3 linked regions of the Ovis aries genome follow. The protein of the gene in region 1 interacts with the protein of each later gene in a pairwise test. Links are inferred from orthologs where the notes say so. Each region holds a gene or a part of one and is shown on either strand. Other genes may lie near its edges. The genes, in order: THAP1, TRIM26 and A-kinase anchor protein 17A.

Region 1 (5,316 bases):
AAAGTGAAGAAATTGTCTTTTGTGTGATGTCTTGACAATCAATTCGTCAAGGGCAAGATTCCCACCTGATGCAATGAGTCACACTCTGCCCACACGACCCAGCTGGCAGAGACCTGGGTGGGTGCACACACCTCCAGTGGGGACCGGACGCCCGAGCTCAGAGCAGTGAGAGAAAAGGTGAGCCCGGGGTCAGCCCCAGTGGCCGCTGCTCAGCTCACTGGTAACGATGTACAGTGTGCTTACTGGAGAGTGTGTCTTCCCCTGGAGACACACTTCTAACTCTATAATGCTGGATGGGGGTGAGAAAGGAAGGGCCCCACTCTTCAAAAAAATTCCTTCTTTAACATAATTTAACCATTATGATTAGGTATGGAATGACACAACTTGCCAAGTTAACTCTGATAAGGGATTAAGGTAAATTAATCTGTCAACTTTACAAATAAGAATGTGTAAATATATATATTCTGAGACATCATGTCCTATGCTTCTGATTTAAAACGTGATGAAGTTCTTTCAATAAACTGCACTAAATTTTTTTAACTTGAAACTTAAATCATCCTTACTGCACTGTTCTCATTCTCCTTACTTTTTATTTTCATATCGTGTCTATAAATACTTGAATTGAAAAACAAAAATCCCCAATCTTGAAACCAACTGACACTGAAGCTCTGAGGTTAGTTTATCACTTTTAAAATATTTTGCTAAAATGTAAAAACCCTGAAATTACAAACAAAAAATTTACAGTTTTACAGTATATATCTAATTTATTCTTTTAAAAAAATATTCTGAATTGCTTTTGTACAAGTTATCAAGTGTAATCTCTTTTCAAATGAAGCTCCTCTCTAGGGTAGAAGAGGGTAGGTGGTATTGCCCCATGAAAAACCAATACAAATCTCACGTTTTCACGCGGGGACTTCGACTATCTCGAAGTAGTCATTGGGGAGAATGACGTAGCCCCTCTCGGAGGCGCCGTCCTTCTCCTTCTGGAAGTGCACCACCTCCTTCAGCTTCTCCAGCTGCCTCTCCTGTCTGCGGCACCGCTGCTGTGCAGTCTTGAGCTTCTTCCGGAGCTTCTCCACTTGCTGCTCCAGCTGGTGGATCCTCTTCCGCTGGTGCATGGTGTCCTCCACGGTGTAGTTGTGGTCACAGAAGACGGAGAGGTTATCGGGGGTCTGAAGAGGAGGCATGAGCAACCCGATCGCAGCATCAACCTGGGAAATGGGGGGCGTTAAAGGAGGCGGCGGGGGCTGTTCCTGTGGCTCCAGGAGATCTTCCTTCTGGAACAAAGACGCAGAGCGTGTTTGAGCTTCATTATTAAAAGTAACAGATTAAAAGAACACACTAAATTCTGCACCTGTGCAATATAAGAATGTTAGACTTAGTTCTGCCTCCTTGGCATAGAAACAGTCTAAAATGAAAAGAAGTTTTAATTTTCCTTTTTTACCTGAAGTAGAAATGGGATGCAAAAAAGACAAAATGATTAATCGGATCTAATTAAACACTAGCACTGAAAACTGAGGGGGAAAATACTCTGAAAGTTAACTATCATCATAAAGGAAAATCAAAACTTATCAACATATAAGCAGGAACACCAGGATTCCCTGGTGGCTCAGACAGTAAAGCATCTGCCTGCAATGCGGGAGACCTGGGTTCGATTCCTGGGTAGGGAAGATCCCCTGGAGAAGGAAATGGCAATCCACTCCAGCACTCTTGCCTGGAAAATCCCATGGACGGAGAAGCCTGATAGGCTACAGTCCATGGGGTCGCGAAGAGTCGGACACTGAGCCACTTCACTTTCACTTTCAAGCAGGAACATGGGGCTTTCCAGGTGGTGCTAGTGGTAAAGAACCTGCTTGCTTACGCAGGAGATCTAAGAGACGTGGGTTCAATCCTTGGGTCAGGAAGATCCCCTGGAGAAGGAAATGGCAACCCACTCCTGGGTTGCAGAATCCCATGGATAGAGGATCCTGGTGGGCTACATAAACACACAAGCAGGAATACAGACTGATCTTAAAGTAAGTTAAAAGCTAGGCTGAAGTGTCTTAGTGTGAGAATATTTAACTTTACTAAACACTCTGTATTTTTTGAAGTATTTTGCTGTGAACAGGGGTCATTTACAAGGGATGGGTTCCAGGTAACATTTATATTCTTAACACTACTGTGGCTTTTCCAGATTTTCCATTGAACACATTAACTTTATGGAAAGAGACCCGCCCAGTACTTTACACGCCCCTCACCTTGTCGTGCGGCTCGGTACACAGAAATATCGTGGGGACAGCATCCTCTTTCAGCAGCTTGTTGTTGCACTCCCGCTTAAAGCAGTCCGGGGTAAAGTGGTCCGAGCAGATGCTGCTGTACTTGGTGGGCTTAAAGTTTTTCCTTCTGACAGCTGCCTCCCATTTCTTACAAAGACTGGGTCGAGTAAGAGGAAACCTAAGAAGATGAAATGATTCCGTTTTCTAGCCTTACTCAGAAACAAAAAGGCACACCCAGGCGTTCCTGCTTAGAGAAGAATTAGCTTACAACCACCGGTGTTCACACGCCACAGGCGTTTGCTTAACACACCTGCTCCCACTAATCCTTTTTCGACAGTTTTTCAGGTGTACCCTTATCACCCTAGATGTTACGGATGTACTTGTGTGGACATAGAGAACAAGCCTGTGGTTGCCAAGGAGGAGGGGAGTGGGGAAGAGCGGGACTGAGAGTTTGGAGTTACATACGAGAAGGGATAAACAACAAGGTCCTACCGTGTAGCACAGTGAACCGTAGTCAAAATCCTGAGATAAACCCAAATGGAAAAGAACATGGGAAAAAAATGCAGAGCTGTGTATAACTGAATCACTTTGGTGTACAGCAGAAACCAACGAAACACTGTAAATCAACTATACCTAAAGTAAACTTTTTAAAAAATGGACTTGTTTTAAAATCCTGTAACTAAAGTGAGCATCACTAGTGTGAAAAATAAGTCACCCCTCCTAGCATGGTATTTTTTTTTTTAAACCAGGATTTCTTATAAGAATCTTATTGATCACAAAGCAGTTGTAAGAATGTCAGATATAATGATGTATACAATCTAAATACGTCAGGCTCATTAGGATTTACATTATGCAAAAACATACTTATTAAAAGGCAGCCACGTGGACAGATGCACGCAGCTGGCAGAGCAGGTGATAGGAGGGTAGGTTCAAGGGCCCATGTGATGTTTTCCCCTCTTTTGCAGTAAATAACCTTCGCAAACAGACACATCTAAGATACAAGGGTAAACCATATAGCTCCACCATCCACCTATCTCAGTCTTTAATGCTTAACTTTTTATACTGAAGACACTAAAATCTGGGGTAAAATACACATGGTATAGACTGAATTTGTATTATTATTATTATTTTTTTTACCAGTGATCCTCTGTGTACTGTAAAACAAAACTGCACGTTTATAACTATGTACCGAGACAAAGAAGCTTTTTGTTTTCTTGAGAATCATCTTGACAAATATGAATCAAACTGTAGCCAAATCATAATGATAAGGAAAAAAAGTATTCATTTTAATTTACCTAATTGACTGAAATACATCCATTAGGCCCAGATAAAGAGAGATACGAAGCTTTTAAACTTATTTTATTTTTCCAGGTAAAAGATTCAGTGAGTTGGGGGGGATTGAAAAAAAGCCAAAAAAGGGTGTTTCGACTCTGTGTCCCAGTTTCTCTACGAAGTGAGATACGCTCGAGCCTGACTCTGCTATGGTCGTGGAGCCCTAATCTACCCTTCTCTTTGCCCAGAACATCTGTTCCCACTACCATGTAGAAGCTGAGAAAGACTCCTAGAATGTTCCTGCTGGAAGTGCCTCTAGAAGTAGACACAGCAGCAACTGCTGGGAAACTCAACACCCAGGGCCTCCTGACCAAGGATTACAATGCAGCTTATTTCTGAGGTCAAGAGCCTTCCCAAAATTGTTCTTTTAGATAAGGGATAAGATGCAGATTAGCTCTTCTTTTGGTCAAATCAATTATTTAACCGCAGGAGAAACTCCGTATTTCTGAAACGTGTGAACGTCATCCTTAACCAGTGCCAGTGAAGGGTTTTCCTTATGTCTGTATTCCCTCAGCCACATCGTTAGAAATGGGGCTGGGGGGGGGGGGAGCTGAAAGTCTGTGATCACGTCACCATCTCCAGATCTGTTCCTTCACATTGGAACTGCTGGAGTTCCCCCATTAGCTTTCAGAAATTCTAATCAATCAAGAGGCAACATTAGAAGTGTTAAGTGTTCTGTTTCTTAGAAGGGGGAAAAAAAATCAACATTCTCAAGATCTCTCTATACCCTACACACTCTGATTTTTGTTCTCATACCAAATGTATAAAAATGCACCCACATTCACTGTTAAACATGGAAGGTCCTTATTCCCCCCAAATTTAAGATTTTGCTTTAGTAATTATTTACCTATAAATGTGTGGATGTGTGGATCACAACAAACTGTGGAAAATTTTCAAAGAGATGGGAATACCAGACCACCAGACTTTCCTGCCGCCAGAGAAACCTGTATGCAGGTCAAGAAGCAACAGTTAGAGCTGGACATGGAACAACTGACTGGTTCAAAACTGGAAAAGGAGTTATACTGTCACCCTGCTTATTTGACTTATATACAGAATACATCATGTGAAATGTCAGGCTGGATGAATCACAAGCTGCGATCAAGACTGCCAGGAGAAATATCAACCTCAGATAATGCAGATAATACCACCCTAATGGCAGAATGTGAAGAGAAACTAAAAAGCCTCTTGAGGAAGGTGAAAGAGGAGAGTGAAAAAGCTAATTTAAAACAGCATTCAAAAACTAAGATCATGGCATCTGGTCCCATCACTTCATGGCAAATAGAAGACGCAAAAAAAAAAAAAAGGAAATCGTGGCAGATTTTATTTTCTTGGGCTCCAAAATCACTGTGGATGGTGACTGCAGCCATGAAATTAAAAGGTGTGAAAAAATAGATGCTTGCTCCCTGGAAAAAAAGCCATGACAAAACCTAGACAATATATAAAAAGGCAGAGACATCCCTTTGCCGACAAAGGTCCGTCTAGTCAAACCTATGGTTTTTGTAGCAGTCTTGTGGATGTGAGAGTTGGACCATAAAGAAGGATGAGCGCTGAAGAATTGATGCCTTTGAACTGTGGTGTTGGAGAAGACTCTTGAGAGTCCCTTGGACTAGGATATCAAACCAATCAATAGTAAAGGAAATCAACCCTCAATATTCACTGGAAGGTACTGAAGCTGAAGCTCCAATACTTTGCTCACATGATGTGAAGAGCTGACTGGAAAAGATCCTGA
Region 2 (5,789 bases), on another chromosome or scaffold:
GTTAAATTCTTTATAATTATTTCACTTGAGCTTTGTAGGTACAGGTCTTTTCCACACCCGTTACATCTCTTAAAGTCACGCATCTCTAAATCTGTTGGAGCTTCTGGTTGGAGTTCATTGTCAGTAGTAAAATAATGCCTTACATTTGTACAGTACTTTCCGTTTAGAAAGCACTTTTTATATATTGCTGCATTAGATCCTCAAGAAATAGACTTTGTATTTCTGTGTTGTTTTCTCTTTGGGGCTTTATTTCTAGCTCATTCATGTCAGTACATGAAAGAAATTGAAGGCCACTGAACTCTGTTGTAATGGACTTTCACATACATAATAAGTAATCAGATTGATTTGCCTGTGGTTCCAAGGGCTTCATTCCAGCCTGGCAGTTATCTGTGTGCCCTGTCTACTGGCTGTCTTCCCAGAGACTGCTCCGGTGGCCTACCATGGGTCTCTCCACGAGACTTTAACTTGGAGCCCATGTGTCACCGTGGCGTTTCATCCTTACTTCCTCTCTTGCTGCCACTTTAAATTTCCAGTCTTGCTTTACTTGTGCTTTGAATACTCACTGGATTTGGGAGCCAAGGGTTCTGGATTCTCTTCTAGATTCCCCCTCAATATCACGCTTATGCCTAATACTTCTAGCATAATTCTTTTACTCAATCCATGTAGGAACCCCTTGAAGGTAAGTATGACTCTCCCCATTTTATGGATGGATAAACTGAGGCTCAGAGTACTTAAATGAGTTTTTTCTTGTCACACAGTGTAAGGGCAGGAGGCAGCTGTTGCTTTAGGTGTGCTGAGGCTCCTAACCTCAGACAGGAGGTGTGCCAAGGCTGCGGAGGTAAACAGAACTAAAGTCCTCTGTGCTCAACTTATGTGTTCCCTCTGAGGGCCACGCTGTCATCCACACATCCCTGTCAGAGCCACCTGAAGGTTCCTCCCACGTTGGTTTCAGTCACCCGTGTTAGCAGTAGAGCGGCCAGGCCAGCTGCGTGGAGGGGCACAGCTGAGAACGAGTCCATTGTGGCCCGGCAGTGCTCTGCCAGCAGACTGAGTCTAGGTAGGGACCACCTCTCTGGGGCAAGTGAACCCAGTCAAAAACTCACACAGCCCAAGGAAACATCTATAAAGGAGGACACCGGAACTCAACCTCCTGATGCTCCTTGAGTCTCGGTAAAGAACCTCAGTGCACTTAGTCTTTGCAACCTGAAGTCTGCAGGGCAAACAGAGGAGTCTCTTGACTCTGTCAAGGCCCCTCATGAACAGTTGTGCAGGCTATGTGCAGCAAAGTCAGGGAGCACTGTGCACATAGTAGGTGTTGTGGATTTGTATATTATGACAGTTCAGCAGGTAGTTATCTGGGGTCTTGTTCTCATAATCGCTACATTAGAGCAATTTTCCAGCAGATGGAAGGACAGGGTCTGGAGGTAGGAGTGTGTTCCCAAGAGTACGGCATGGGCTGGTACCTGCGCTACTCTCCCTTCTTCCAAGCTACACACTCTGGGCCTCAGTTTCCTCATCTGTAAAATGAGGGCATTGGACTTGAGGATCAGTAAGGTCCTTTCCCTCTGATTCTGGGGGAGCCTCATAGGAGCTGCGATTGACTGGTCGGTTGCTTGGGCACGCAGCCCCATGTGCGGCTGCCACTCCCGCCCCTCTGCTGGGCCTGCTGTTGACTCCATGTCTGGTCCCCAAGGAGGAGAAGTCCCAGCCGGTGAACAGGGGCCCCTCTGAGCTCGGGATACCATGGCCGCGTCGGCACCGCTGCGGAGTCTGGAAGAGGAGGTGACCTGCTCCATCTGCCTCGATTACCTGCGGGACCCAGTGACCATTGACTGTGGCCACGTCTTCTGCCGCAGCTGTACCGCTGACATCCGCCCCATCTCAGGGGGCCGCCCTGCCTGCCCCCTGTGCAAGAAGCCTTTTAAGAAGGAGAATATCCGGCCGGTGTGGCAGCTGGCCAGCCTGGTGGAGAACATTGAGCGGCTGAAGGTGGACGGGGGCCGGCAGCCGGGGGAGGCGGCCCAGGAGCAGGCGGAGGCGAGGCTGTGCGAGCGGCACCGGGAGAAGCTGCATTACTTCTGCGAGGACGACGGCAAGCTGCTGTGCGTCATGTGCCGGGAGTCCCGCGAGCACAGGCCGCACTCGGCCGTCCTGGTGGAGAAGGCGGCCCAGCCCCACAGGGTAAGCCCTCCGCTCCCCCGCAGGGAGGGAAGCTCTGCTCGGCGCCCACCCGCAGGCGAGGCCTCGCGCAGGCCCCTCGGAAGGCTTCTCGCTGGCCCGGGACTCGGCCCGAGCCCACCCTCCTGCCTCAGCCCAGAGCATCCCCACTGCTTGTCTTTCTGCAGGAAAAAATCCTGAACCACCTGAGTACCCTAAGGAGAGACAGAGACAAAATTCAGGGCTTTCAGGCCAAGGGCGAAGCTGATATCCTGGCTGCGCTGGTAAGTGAGGCTGTCGAGGGAGAGAGCCCTGAGGCAGGCAATCGGCTGTGCAGAGCAGGAGCTCTTGAGCTTGTAGAGACACAGCTGGGCGGCCACTGGCTCCCTGGGAGAGGAGCCCTGACCGGACTGGCAGTGGGAGACCTGGGTTTTGGCCCACGCCCTGCCAGTCTGAGGTCTGCAGGCTTGGCCTGCTTCCTCATCTCGCAAGTGAAGGGGTTGCCTGGATGTCGGCTAAGGTCCTTCTTCTGTGATTCACCTCAGCTGCAGGGCCTGTTTGCTCAGCAGAGTCAGGGTGTGAGGAACTGAGGAAGGCCTGGCTTCATGCTTCCTTTCAAAGAGCGGGAGAGAGACATGATTCCTGCGAGTGAGGGGAGCCAGAGGGTTTGGAAGGCGGGAACTGGCTCCAAGAGGAGAACTGAGAGGAGTGGGCTTGGCCGGGCCTGACCAGCTGTGAGGACGCTGTGTGTAGTGAGTCCATGGTTGCCTGTAGTTAGGAAACAGAGACAGCGCATAGAGTGCTTGGTTAGAGAGGCGATCAGGAAGGGAAAAAACTGATAAAGATTCCAGTTTTCTGGGGCAAAGTCTGTTGGGGAAGCGGGCACTGGAGGGTGGAGGGATGTTGGGGCCAGTCCATGCGGTGAGCTCATGGGCCCCGGGAGAGGGACGGGGAGGCAGGACATGGCCCAACCCGAGCAGTGCCTTCAGGCGCCCTGTGTGCAAGGATGCTGACCAGGTCCCAGCCTGGACTCAGCAGGAAGATTGGGAGACAAGAAAGGACATGGTCCCGGTCGTAGACCTTCCAGAGTTTCACTGAGGAAAGAGGAGATAGTGGCAAGGATAGTATGCACGTATTTTACACATGCTGGGGAGGATGCTGAAGAGAGGGTTAGTTAGGCTTGAATAAAATTAATCAAGGGAAACGTCCTGGAAGAGGCAGCACACACCAGTTGGAAACTGTTGGCTCATAGTGTCCTCAGAGGGCCCTGGAACATACTGGTTTACCTAGAACAGCTGATGGTAGGCACTCATGCTTCCAGTCCCGTGAGGGGACTGACCTGGCTGACTTACCTTGTCTTCCCTGAGGAAAGGAGGTTGCCCCAGGAAGGCTCCAAGCCCCTTCCAGCCTGGACACTGTAGAACTCATGAATGGGGTCAGCGAGGGCGAAGAGCCAGCGTGTGCACCCCACGCCGGATCCCGGAGGGGAGGGCGGCAGTGCCACCCCCTTCTCCCCCTTCCCTCCCTGCAGAAGAAGCTCCAGGACCAGAGGCAGTGCATCGTGGCTGAGTTTGAGCAGGGTCACCAGTTCCTGAGGGAGCGGGAGCAGCACCTGCTGGGCCAGCTGGCGAAGCTGGAGCAGGAGCTCACAGAGGGCAGGGAGAAGTTCAAGACCAGGGGCGTCGGGGAGCTTGCCCGGCTGGCGCAGGTCATCTCCGAGCTGGAGGGCAAGGTGCAGCAGCCGGCTGCGGAGCTCATGCAGGTGAGAGACCTCCCCGGGGCAGGGAGCCGGGAGACCAGGACGGCGGGCATGGCCCTGCCTCTCCCTCAGGGGACCTTGGAGAGTCTTTTCTTCCCCGGGCCTCCGTGTTCTCATCTGAAGCATGGAGACGATGCTCCTTATCCCCACCACTCACTGCAGCGATTGCATGAGCGTAAAATGAGACCGTTGGCACGGTGTCCCTTCAAAAAGTAAATCTATGAGCAAGAGTTTATAGTCTTAAGAAGTGCTGTAGAAATGGAAGAGAAGCTTATTAGTATTTTCATTACTATCCTCCATTCTCATTACTGCCGGCACGAGCCTGTCTTCCAAAGTCACTGGCAGATGCTGGTCCGGGGAGGCTTTTTATGGTTCTGGAGATGAAGAAGCCTGTGGGGTCGGGGGTGGCTGAGGGATGGCTGAAGGGCGGCTTCTCTTAAGAACCCAGAGGATCTGGAGGAGATGGGCAGCTGGGGAAGAGAGTCAGAAGACAGAAGTTTTCTCTGAGCCTGTGGCATCAGCCTCAGAGAATCGGGTGGCAAGCAGGCAGGGTGCCTCTAGGGCACCTGCTGGAGGAGGCAGCTTTGATGCTGAAAAAGGGAGGGTCATGGATTGGAATCAAGGATGGTTGCTAAGTTGAAATGACACCACGACCCCCTCCACCGGGAGCCTCCCAAAGGAGTCACACTGCCTTCAACAGGGCTTTGAACTGCCTTTGGGTGGAACATGTGTGATCCCTCAGTCTCCCGCCCCACAGGCCAGGAGAAGGCCTGTATAATGAGCTCCTCCACTTGCATGGTGAGGGGTGGCTGGGACCACCCAGGACGTCTAGGGAAACGTTGGCCCTGGCCCATGGCAGGGCAAGCCGGTTGCGGGACCTCGGGGGAGATGGTGAGGCCCCCAGGTAGGTGTGCCGCACAGGTGGCCTCTGCCTGCCTCTCTGTCATTGTGGATTCTGACTCAAGCTTTGGGAACTCTTCCGCTCCAGCCCTCAGTGATGAAGTCTCAGAGCACCAGAGGGTGGAAGAGTTCGTCCCAGGCCATGGGGCAGATCAGGAAGTGAGTCAGAGCTCCAGCCCGGGCGTCCTGACTCCCAGGCCTCCGGCCTCTTGCTCTTCTTTTCTCTCACTTTGTCCAGAATGTCTGTCTGGCTCCTTCCTTTCCTCCTCTGTCATTCTGTTCCCTCAGGTTTGTCTCTCTGACTAGGTCACTTGCTGTCTCCCCTCTCCCTCTCTCCCTCCCCTTCAGGGGTGCACATCCTTCCTCTCCCCGCAGCCGCCAGCCCCTGCCACAGTGTGGGTGGGCACTTGTAGAACAGAGGGGCACAGCTAGGGTGCTGGGGGGCGGGGATCCGGTTGCGTCTGCCCAGAGGGGAGCTTCTCCCCAGTCTATCTGGAAGAGCTTTGTGGACCGACAGAGGCCCAGCCTTCAGAGCCTCTGAGACCACTCAGATAGAGGGCACCCCTGGGGCTGGGTGGGAGGAGAGAGGGAGAGAAAGTGGGTGTCTGCTGGAGGTCAGCGCGGGAGTGTGGCACTGGTGGGTTTTGTCGGTGTCTGTTTGGGTCTGCCTTTGCTGAAGGGAATTGGACAGCTAACTCCTGCCCTGGTGTTAGTATTTCTCCAGAGATTGACTGTCAGTGGACAGTAAGGATGAGGCCCTACTAAGATGGGAGTCCTGATGCAAAATGTGGTAGAGAAATACAGGTGAGGGACAAGCAGCAGGACAGGAGATAAATACAAGGCCTTTTGACAGAGGTGATAGAACAGGAACGATCTCTTGAGCAGCGCTGTCAGGAGGAGGTTTAAGGGAGCTGGGGGAGTGGGGAGCACCTCGAGGGTACCAAGAACCAGCTCCTTGGTTCAGTCCAGGGTG
Region 3 (6,241 bases), on another chromosome or scaffold:
GGGTGGCATAGTGGTAAAGAACCCACCTTCCAATGCAGGGGACACAAGACACACAGGTTTCACCCCTGGGTCAACAGGATCTCCTAGCGAAGAGAATGGCAACCCACTGCAGTACTCTCGCCTGAAGAATCCCACGGACAGAAGAGCTTGGCAGGCTACAGTCTATGGGCTCGCAAAGAGTCAGACACAACTCAGCAACTGAGAACACAGATATATAACACAGAAAGCACATTATATATTTATATTTACATTTTATATATTAAGCAATTTAAAATAATAAAATGCACAGATGCATATCAAAAATATAAAATAATAATTATGCAATTTCTGTTACTTTCCGACATCCTTAAAAGTAAGCATGGAACATCAATGTTAAAATGTAAAAAGTTTCAATAGTAAAATACTAGATGTTTATACTAACACTATATTACTTAAGTGAGTGTAGTTACATTACGGGAGGTGAAAGTCGCTCCGTTGTGTCTGACTCTTTGCGATGCCTATAGCCCACGGGATTCTCCAGGCCAGAATACTGGAGTGGGTATTCATGCCCTTCTCCAGGGGATCTTCCCAACCCAGGGATTGAACCCAGGTGTCTCGCATTGCAGCCGGACTCCTTATCAATGGATCCACCAGGGAAGCCCGTTGCATTATATGTATGCTACATTATAGCATGATATAACAATGTCATACAAGCAATCCATACTCATACGGAATAAAATCAGTAATTAATAAATATACACTTGTCATAGTTCATAACGATATCTCATGTGCGACGCATGACTGTAACAGCAGTGTGCCCCACACAGCCGGCCTGAGTCCCGAGTCCGGTGTCTTCACCCTGGGGCCCCAAGGTGAGGCCTCTGCCTGGACCTGAAAACAGGTGGCAGGGTTGGGGGCGGGGCGGGGCGGGGCGGGGTGGGGGAAGGGCGCGGCGGGCTCGCGCACGCGCACCGCGAAGCCCGGGCCGGCCGGCCCCACCCACCGCCGCCCCGGAAGTCCCGCCTCTTGGGGGGCGGGGCCATGGCCAGGAGGAGAAACCCGGGCCCGCCGCGCGGCCTGCTTCCGCGGGCCCGAGCGGCGGAAGCGGAAATGCGTCACAGGGGCGGGCGGCGGCGGCGGCCGAGGCGGCGGCAGCGGGTCGCGTCGGGGGCGCCTCCGGCGGACGGTGGCGGCGCCGGGCGGGGAGGCCGGGCCTGCCGGCGTCGTCGGGGGCCCGCGGGAGCGCTGGGGCCAGGGCGGCGGCGGCCTGGTACGTGGACGGGGCCCCGCCCGCCGGGCGCCGGGGACCCCGGGGCGTCGGGGGGCCGGGGAGGGCGGCCTCGCGGGGCGGGCGGCCGGGGCGCGGCTCTCCTGGGCCTGCGGGCTTCGGGGGTCGAGAGCCTTCGAGGGGCCTGGGGGCGGGGGGTCTGGGGGTGACGGAGAACCGGCGGCCGGGGGCTGCGGGGGTCTCTTGGGCCTGCGGACTTGGGAGCGGGGGGCCTGGGGACTTGGGGGCGCGGCTTTGGGGGTCGAAAGCCTTTGAGGGCCTGAGGGTGACGGAGTGCCGCGGGCTGGGGTCTGCAGCGGTCTCTCGGGGCGACCGGGGCACGGGGTCTCGTGGGACTGCTGACTTGGGGGCAGGGGCTTCGGGGGTCGAGAGCCTTTGAGGGGCTTGGGGATGACCGGGGGCTGGGGGATGCGGGGGTCTCCCGGGACGGCCGGGGCACGGGTGTCCTGGACCTGCAGACTTGGGAGCAGGGGTCTGGGGGACTTGGGGGTGTGGGCTTTGGGGGTCGAAAGCCTTTGAGGGGCTTGGGGTGACGGACAGCTGGGGGCTGCGGGGGTCTCCCCGGGGTGCGGAGAGTGGGGGGCGTCTTCTGGGAGAGGATTTGGGAGAGGGGACAACGGCGATTGAGCAGAGGAGGGGAGGTCTCCAGGGAGCTGCGGGGTTGGGGCGGGGGGTGGACAGGGTCCCTGCAGGCGAATCGGGGTCCACCAGGGTAAGAGGTAAGCAGGCTGTACTGGGACGGGGAGTGAAGTTAGGGGTTACTGGAGGTTGGAGGGGGTAACCGGGGGCCACAGAGGCGGCTGGGGAGAGAGAAGGCGGGAGTTGGGCCAGTGGGGTGAGCATTTGGAGGGGTGGAGGCGATGGGGATCGTGAGGGGCTGCCAGGGGTGTGTTGACAGGGGTGCAGCGAAGGGGCTGGGGGTCATCCCCAGGGTGCAGGGGCAGCTGGGCGACCAGGGAATATGGGAATCCCCAGGGTTCCTAGTAGGCAGTGGGCTTCCGGAGTCTCTGACTCAAGTTCTCTCTGAGGTCTGGAGGTTTTCTGCGGGTGGAGGGGGGCTGTCGCCACTCTCAGCCCAGGCTGAGCCCCCTCCCTGGTGCCCCAGACCTGGGCCAGGTGGCTCTTCCCTCCAGCTGGGACCCCTCCACCCCCGTCCCTGCAGCTTCTCCTGGGTCTGGGTGTGTGTGTGTGCTGAGCTGTTCAGTCGTGGCTCTCTGTGACCCTGTGGACTATAGCCCACCAGGCTCCTCTGTCCGTGGCTTTCTCCAGGCAAGAATACTGGAGTGGGTTGCCATGCCCTCCTCCAGGGGATCTTCCCGCCCCAGGGATTGAACCCAGGCCTGGTCAGAAGCTCTCAGAGCCATCTGGTGCGCGGGCACACAGCCCAAGGCCCCCTCCATTACTGTTTGCTGTCCGTGGGTCAGGTCTGGCCCTGCTTTGCGGAAGTAGGCACCTGTCTGACCGGTAGGGAGAAGCTGGTTGAGGGGGAGGAGAGCACAGTCAGCTCCCCGTCCGCGGCTTCCCAGAGGCCCCGCGGCTTTGATGGTTTTATCTGGACACAGAGAAAATGCTTCTGCCTGCGGTAGAGATACTGAAGTCAACGGTCTTCAACCATTCTCTCAGCCTGAAAGTTCCTTCCTGTTTCCGCGGGCTTCCTCCGGCACAGACCTTCCCAGGTGCTTGTGTGGGTCGTCCCTTCCCCAGTGAGACGTCTGCAGCCTCCATGGAGGTGGCCTGTCCCCCACATCCCGAGGGCAGGGACCCTGCCCATCTGGGCTCCTGCCAGCCCAGCCCTGGTGGAGATGCCTCTGAGTATTGGGGGCAGCTCAGTGCCCATGGAGGCTTGGGGCAAGCAAGTGTTCCTAAAAGTTTTGAAAACCCAAATTTTTTTCCCCTGCATTTGTGTAATCTGATTAAAAGGGCCCACATGTCAGGGGCTGGGGTTTCCCTGGTGGTTCAGACAGTAAAGCATCTGCCTGCAATGCAGGACACCCAGGTTTGATCCCTGGGTGGGAAAGACCCCCCCTCCTGGAGAAGGGAAGGGCAACCCACTCCAGTATTCTTGCCTGGAGAATTTCAGGAGCAGGGGAGCCTGGTCGGCTACCGTCCGCGGGGTCACAGAGAGTCTGACACGACTGAGCGACTAACCCTGAGGGGCCGAGGGGCCTTCCCTGACGTAGCGACTAGTGTGTCGGGCACGCGGAGGGCAGACGGGCCTCCGTGCCCCGGGCCGCGTGCTGGCCAGCCTGGGGGCGGGGCAGCGGGCCGGCCGTGAACGCGCGGCGTGCGCGTCTTGTGTTTCAGGCCCAAGGTCCCGGCTATGGCTGCGGCCACCATCGTGCACGACACGTCTGAGGCGGTGGAGCTGTGCCCGCTGCACGGCCTGTACCTGAAGCCCATCACGAAGATGACCATCAGCGTGGCGCTGCCGCAGCTGAAGCAGCCGGGCAAGTCCATCTCCAACTGGGAGGTGATGGAGCGGCTCAAGGGCATGGTGCAGCACCACCAGTTCTCCACGCTGCGCATCTCCAAGAGCACCATGGACTTCATCCGCTTCGAGGGCGAGGTGGAGAACAAGAGCCTCGTCAAGTCCTTCCTGGCCTGCCTGGACGGCAAGACCATCAAGCTGAGCGGCTTCTCCGACATCCTCAAGGTGCGCGCCGCGGAGTTCAAGGTCGACTTCCCCACGCGCCACGACTGGGACTCCTTCTTCCGCGACGCCAAGGACATGAACGAGACGCTGCCGGGCGAGCGGCCGGACACCATCCACCTGGAGGGGCTGCCCTGCAAGTGGTTCTCGCTGAAGGAGTCGGGCTCGGAGAAGCCGAGCGAGGAGGTGCTGGTGCGCGTGTTCGAGCGCTTCGGCGAGATCCGCAACGTGGACATCCCCATGCTGGACCCCTACCGCGAGGAGATGACGGGCCGCAACTTCCACACCTTCAGCTTCGGCGGCCACCTCAACTTCGAGGCCTACGTGCAGTACCGCGAGTACGCCGGCTTCATCCAGGCCATGAGCGCGCTGCGCGGCATGAAGCTCATGTTCAAGGGCGAGGACGGCAAGGCTGTGGCCTGCAACATCAAGGTGCGGGGGGTGGGGGGGAGGCGGGGCGGCGGGCTGCGCCCCGAAGGGCCTCCGACATGGGGAGGGCTGCCTGGGCCCCCCACGCGGTGAGCGCACTCTGTGTCTCAGGAAACGTGGGGAGAAGTGGAACACGCTCGCAGCCGCCCTTGAAATGAGGGCGCTGTCCATCATCGCCGCGGACTCTGGCTCGTGCTGGCTCCCCACGTCAGGCTGGCGGAGGAGCCGGGGCCCTCGGGGCGCGAGCTGTGCCCGGGCGCTGGGTGGTGAAGGCAGCTGGCTGCGGAGGGCGGGGGGCGCCCACCGCAGGAGGGGGAAGGAGTCAAGCTCTTGCATGCAGGGCTGGCCTCCGGAGGCCCTGGTGTTTCCGGCAGAAGGGGCCGTCCTGGAAGGGGTGGGGTCCCTGAGCGCTGACTTCGAGCCCTGCCCCGCAGTCCCGAGGTCCCCCCGGTCAAGGGCGTTGGGGGTCCCCGCTCTCTGCGGTGAGTCTGAGGCAGGCCGTCCGGTGAGCACGGGCTTGTCTGCGTGCTCAGGACGGTGCGTGCACCTCCTAACCCTGCCCTGTCCTGCCTCCGAAGGTCTCTTTCGATTCCACCAAACACCTGAGCGATGCCTCCATCAAGAAGCGGCAGCTCGAGAGACAGAAGCTTCAGGAGCTGGAGCAGCAGCGGGAGGAGCAGAAACGGCGGGAGAAGGAGGCAGAGGAGCGCCAGAGAGCTGAGGAGAGGTGCGTGCTGCGGGGCCGGGCTCTGCGGGCCTGGGTGCATGCGTCGGTCCCCTTGGAGACGCAGCGGGACTGCGGGGCTGCGGCCTACCCCCAGGGCACCGCCGGCTTCCCACCCGGCGTTTCGCTGAGCCTTCCTTCTCGCTGAGCCTCCCGGGGCACCGTGCAGCACCCTGCTGACGCGGGCACGGAAGTTTTGTCCAGCTTACAGGTGTTTTGCGTTCAGGCTGAAGCTGCCTTTAAGTGAAGTAGGGAAGTGAGGGTATTGTTGGCCTTTCCCAGCAAGAGCCGTTCAGGAGCCCTGTGAAGTGACACTGAGTCAGGCGTCTTGGCTCAGGACCTCTGTTTCTTGCTTTGACGTTCTGGCGCTAGAGGAAGAGAGCCCGCCTGCCTGCCAGTTCAGTAAGAGAGAGTGCGGGTTCAGTCCCGGGTTGGGGAGATCGCCTGGAGAAGGGAAAGGCGCCCACTGTGGTGTGCTGGCCTGGAGAATCCCGTGGACCGGGGAGCCTGGCGGGCCGCTTCCGTGGTGCCGCAGAGTGGGACGCGACTGAAGGGACTGCGCGTGGCATGCTGTGAGCCCTGCAGGCAAGCTGGCCAGTGTGCCGAGCTGGCTTCTGGGAAGGAGCGGCAGTTCCTGGTGCTCCACCGTGACCCGTGTGCTCGGGCGCTTGTCCCGCACTTGTCCGTGTGTGCGGCGGGCAGGGTTTCTTGTGTGTTTTGCAGAGTGCTGAGTCTCAGGCGTGTGTGCTCCGGCATTCTCTCCTCACCAGCCTGTGTGTGGGTCTGGGCTGACCTGGCTTGTGCGCCGCTCCGGCCTTGGGGCTCCTGTGTGGTTCCCGTTTGGTTCCGATGCTCACTAACACAGATTCGGGCCTTTCTCGGGGGTCAGCGCTTCCCCTGTCTGCTCCGGAACCCAGTGCCAGAGTGGCAGGTGCTGGAGATGGTGCTGGCCTGTGCGCAGGCAGCTGGCGGGGGTGTGGACACGGGTAGGGGGTCGGGAGCCCCGGAGTGAGGCTGTGGCTGCAGAGAGGACAGGTGCCCAGAGAGGGCGGGGTGTCCTGGGTGCATGGCAGGCCTCAGGTGGCGGCCACAAGGGGGGAGCAGTTTGGATCTCACACTGGACGAGGCCGCGGGATCGACGTGCCCACCACAGGCTGAACCAGGGAGCGCT

The links.
Region 2: the proteins of THAP1 (region 1) and TRIM26 interact in binary tests that used the Homo sapiens proteins (3 or more experiments, as listed by UniProt). The two-hybrid records come from large-scale screens. The link is inferred for Ovis aries from reciprocal best matches to the Homo sapiens genes THAP1 and TRIM26.
Region 3: the proteins of THAP1 (region 1) and A-kinase anchor protein 17A interact in binary tests that used the Homo sapiens proteins (3 or more experiments, as listed by UniProt). The two-hybrid records come from large-scale screens. The link is inferred for Ovis aries from reciprocal best matches to the Homo sapiens genes THAP1 and AKAP17A.

The regions. Positions count from the first base shown.
Region 1 is NC_056079.1:36,884,473-36,889,788, forward strand, and holds part of THAP1 (THAP domain-containing protein 1), read right to left. Parts: intron 2,434-5,316; coding exon 2,238-2,433; intron 1,278-2,237; coding exon 903-1,277; 3' UTR 1-902. UniProt on the Homo sapiens protein: DNA-binding transcription regulator that regulates endothelial cell proliferation and G1/S cell-cycle progression.
Region 2 is NC_056073.1:27,805,156-27,810,944, forward strand, and holds part of TRIM26 (tripartite motif-containing protein 26), read left to right. Parts: intron 1-1,693; 5' UTR 1,694-1,743; coding exon 1,744-2,181; intron 2,182-2,345; coding exon 2,346-2,441; intron 2,442-3,688; coding exon 3,689-3,919; intron 3,920-5,789.
Region 3 is NC_082741.1:868,028-874,268, forward strand, and holds the start of A-kinase anchor protein 17A, read left to right. Parts: upstream 1-1,946; 5' UTR 1,947-2,809; coding exon 2,810-2,943; intron 2,944-3,571; coding exon 3,572-4,349; intron 4,350-4,924; coding exon 4,925-5,073; intron 5,074-6,241. UniProt on the Homo sapiens protein: Splice factor regulating alternative splice site selection for certain mRNA precursors. Mediates regulation of pre-mRNA splicing in a PKA-dependent manner.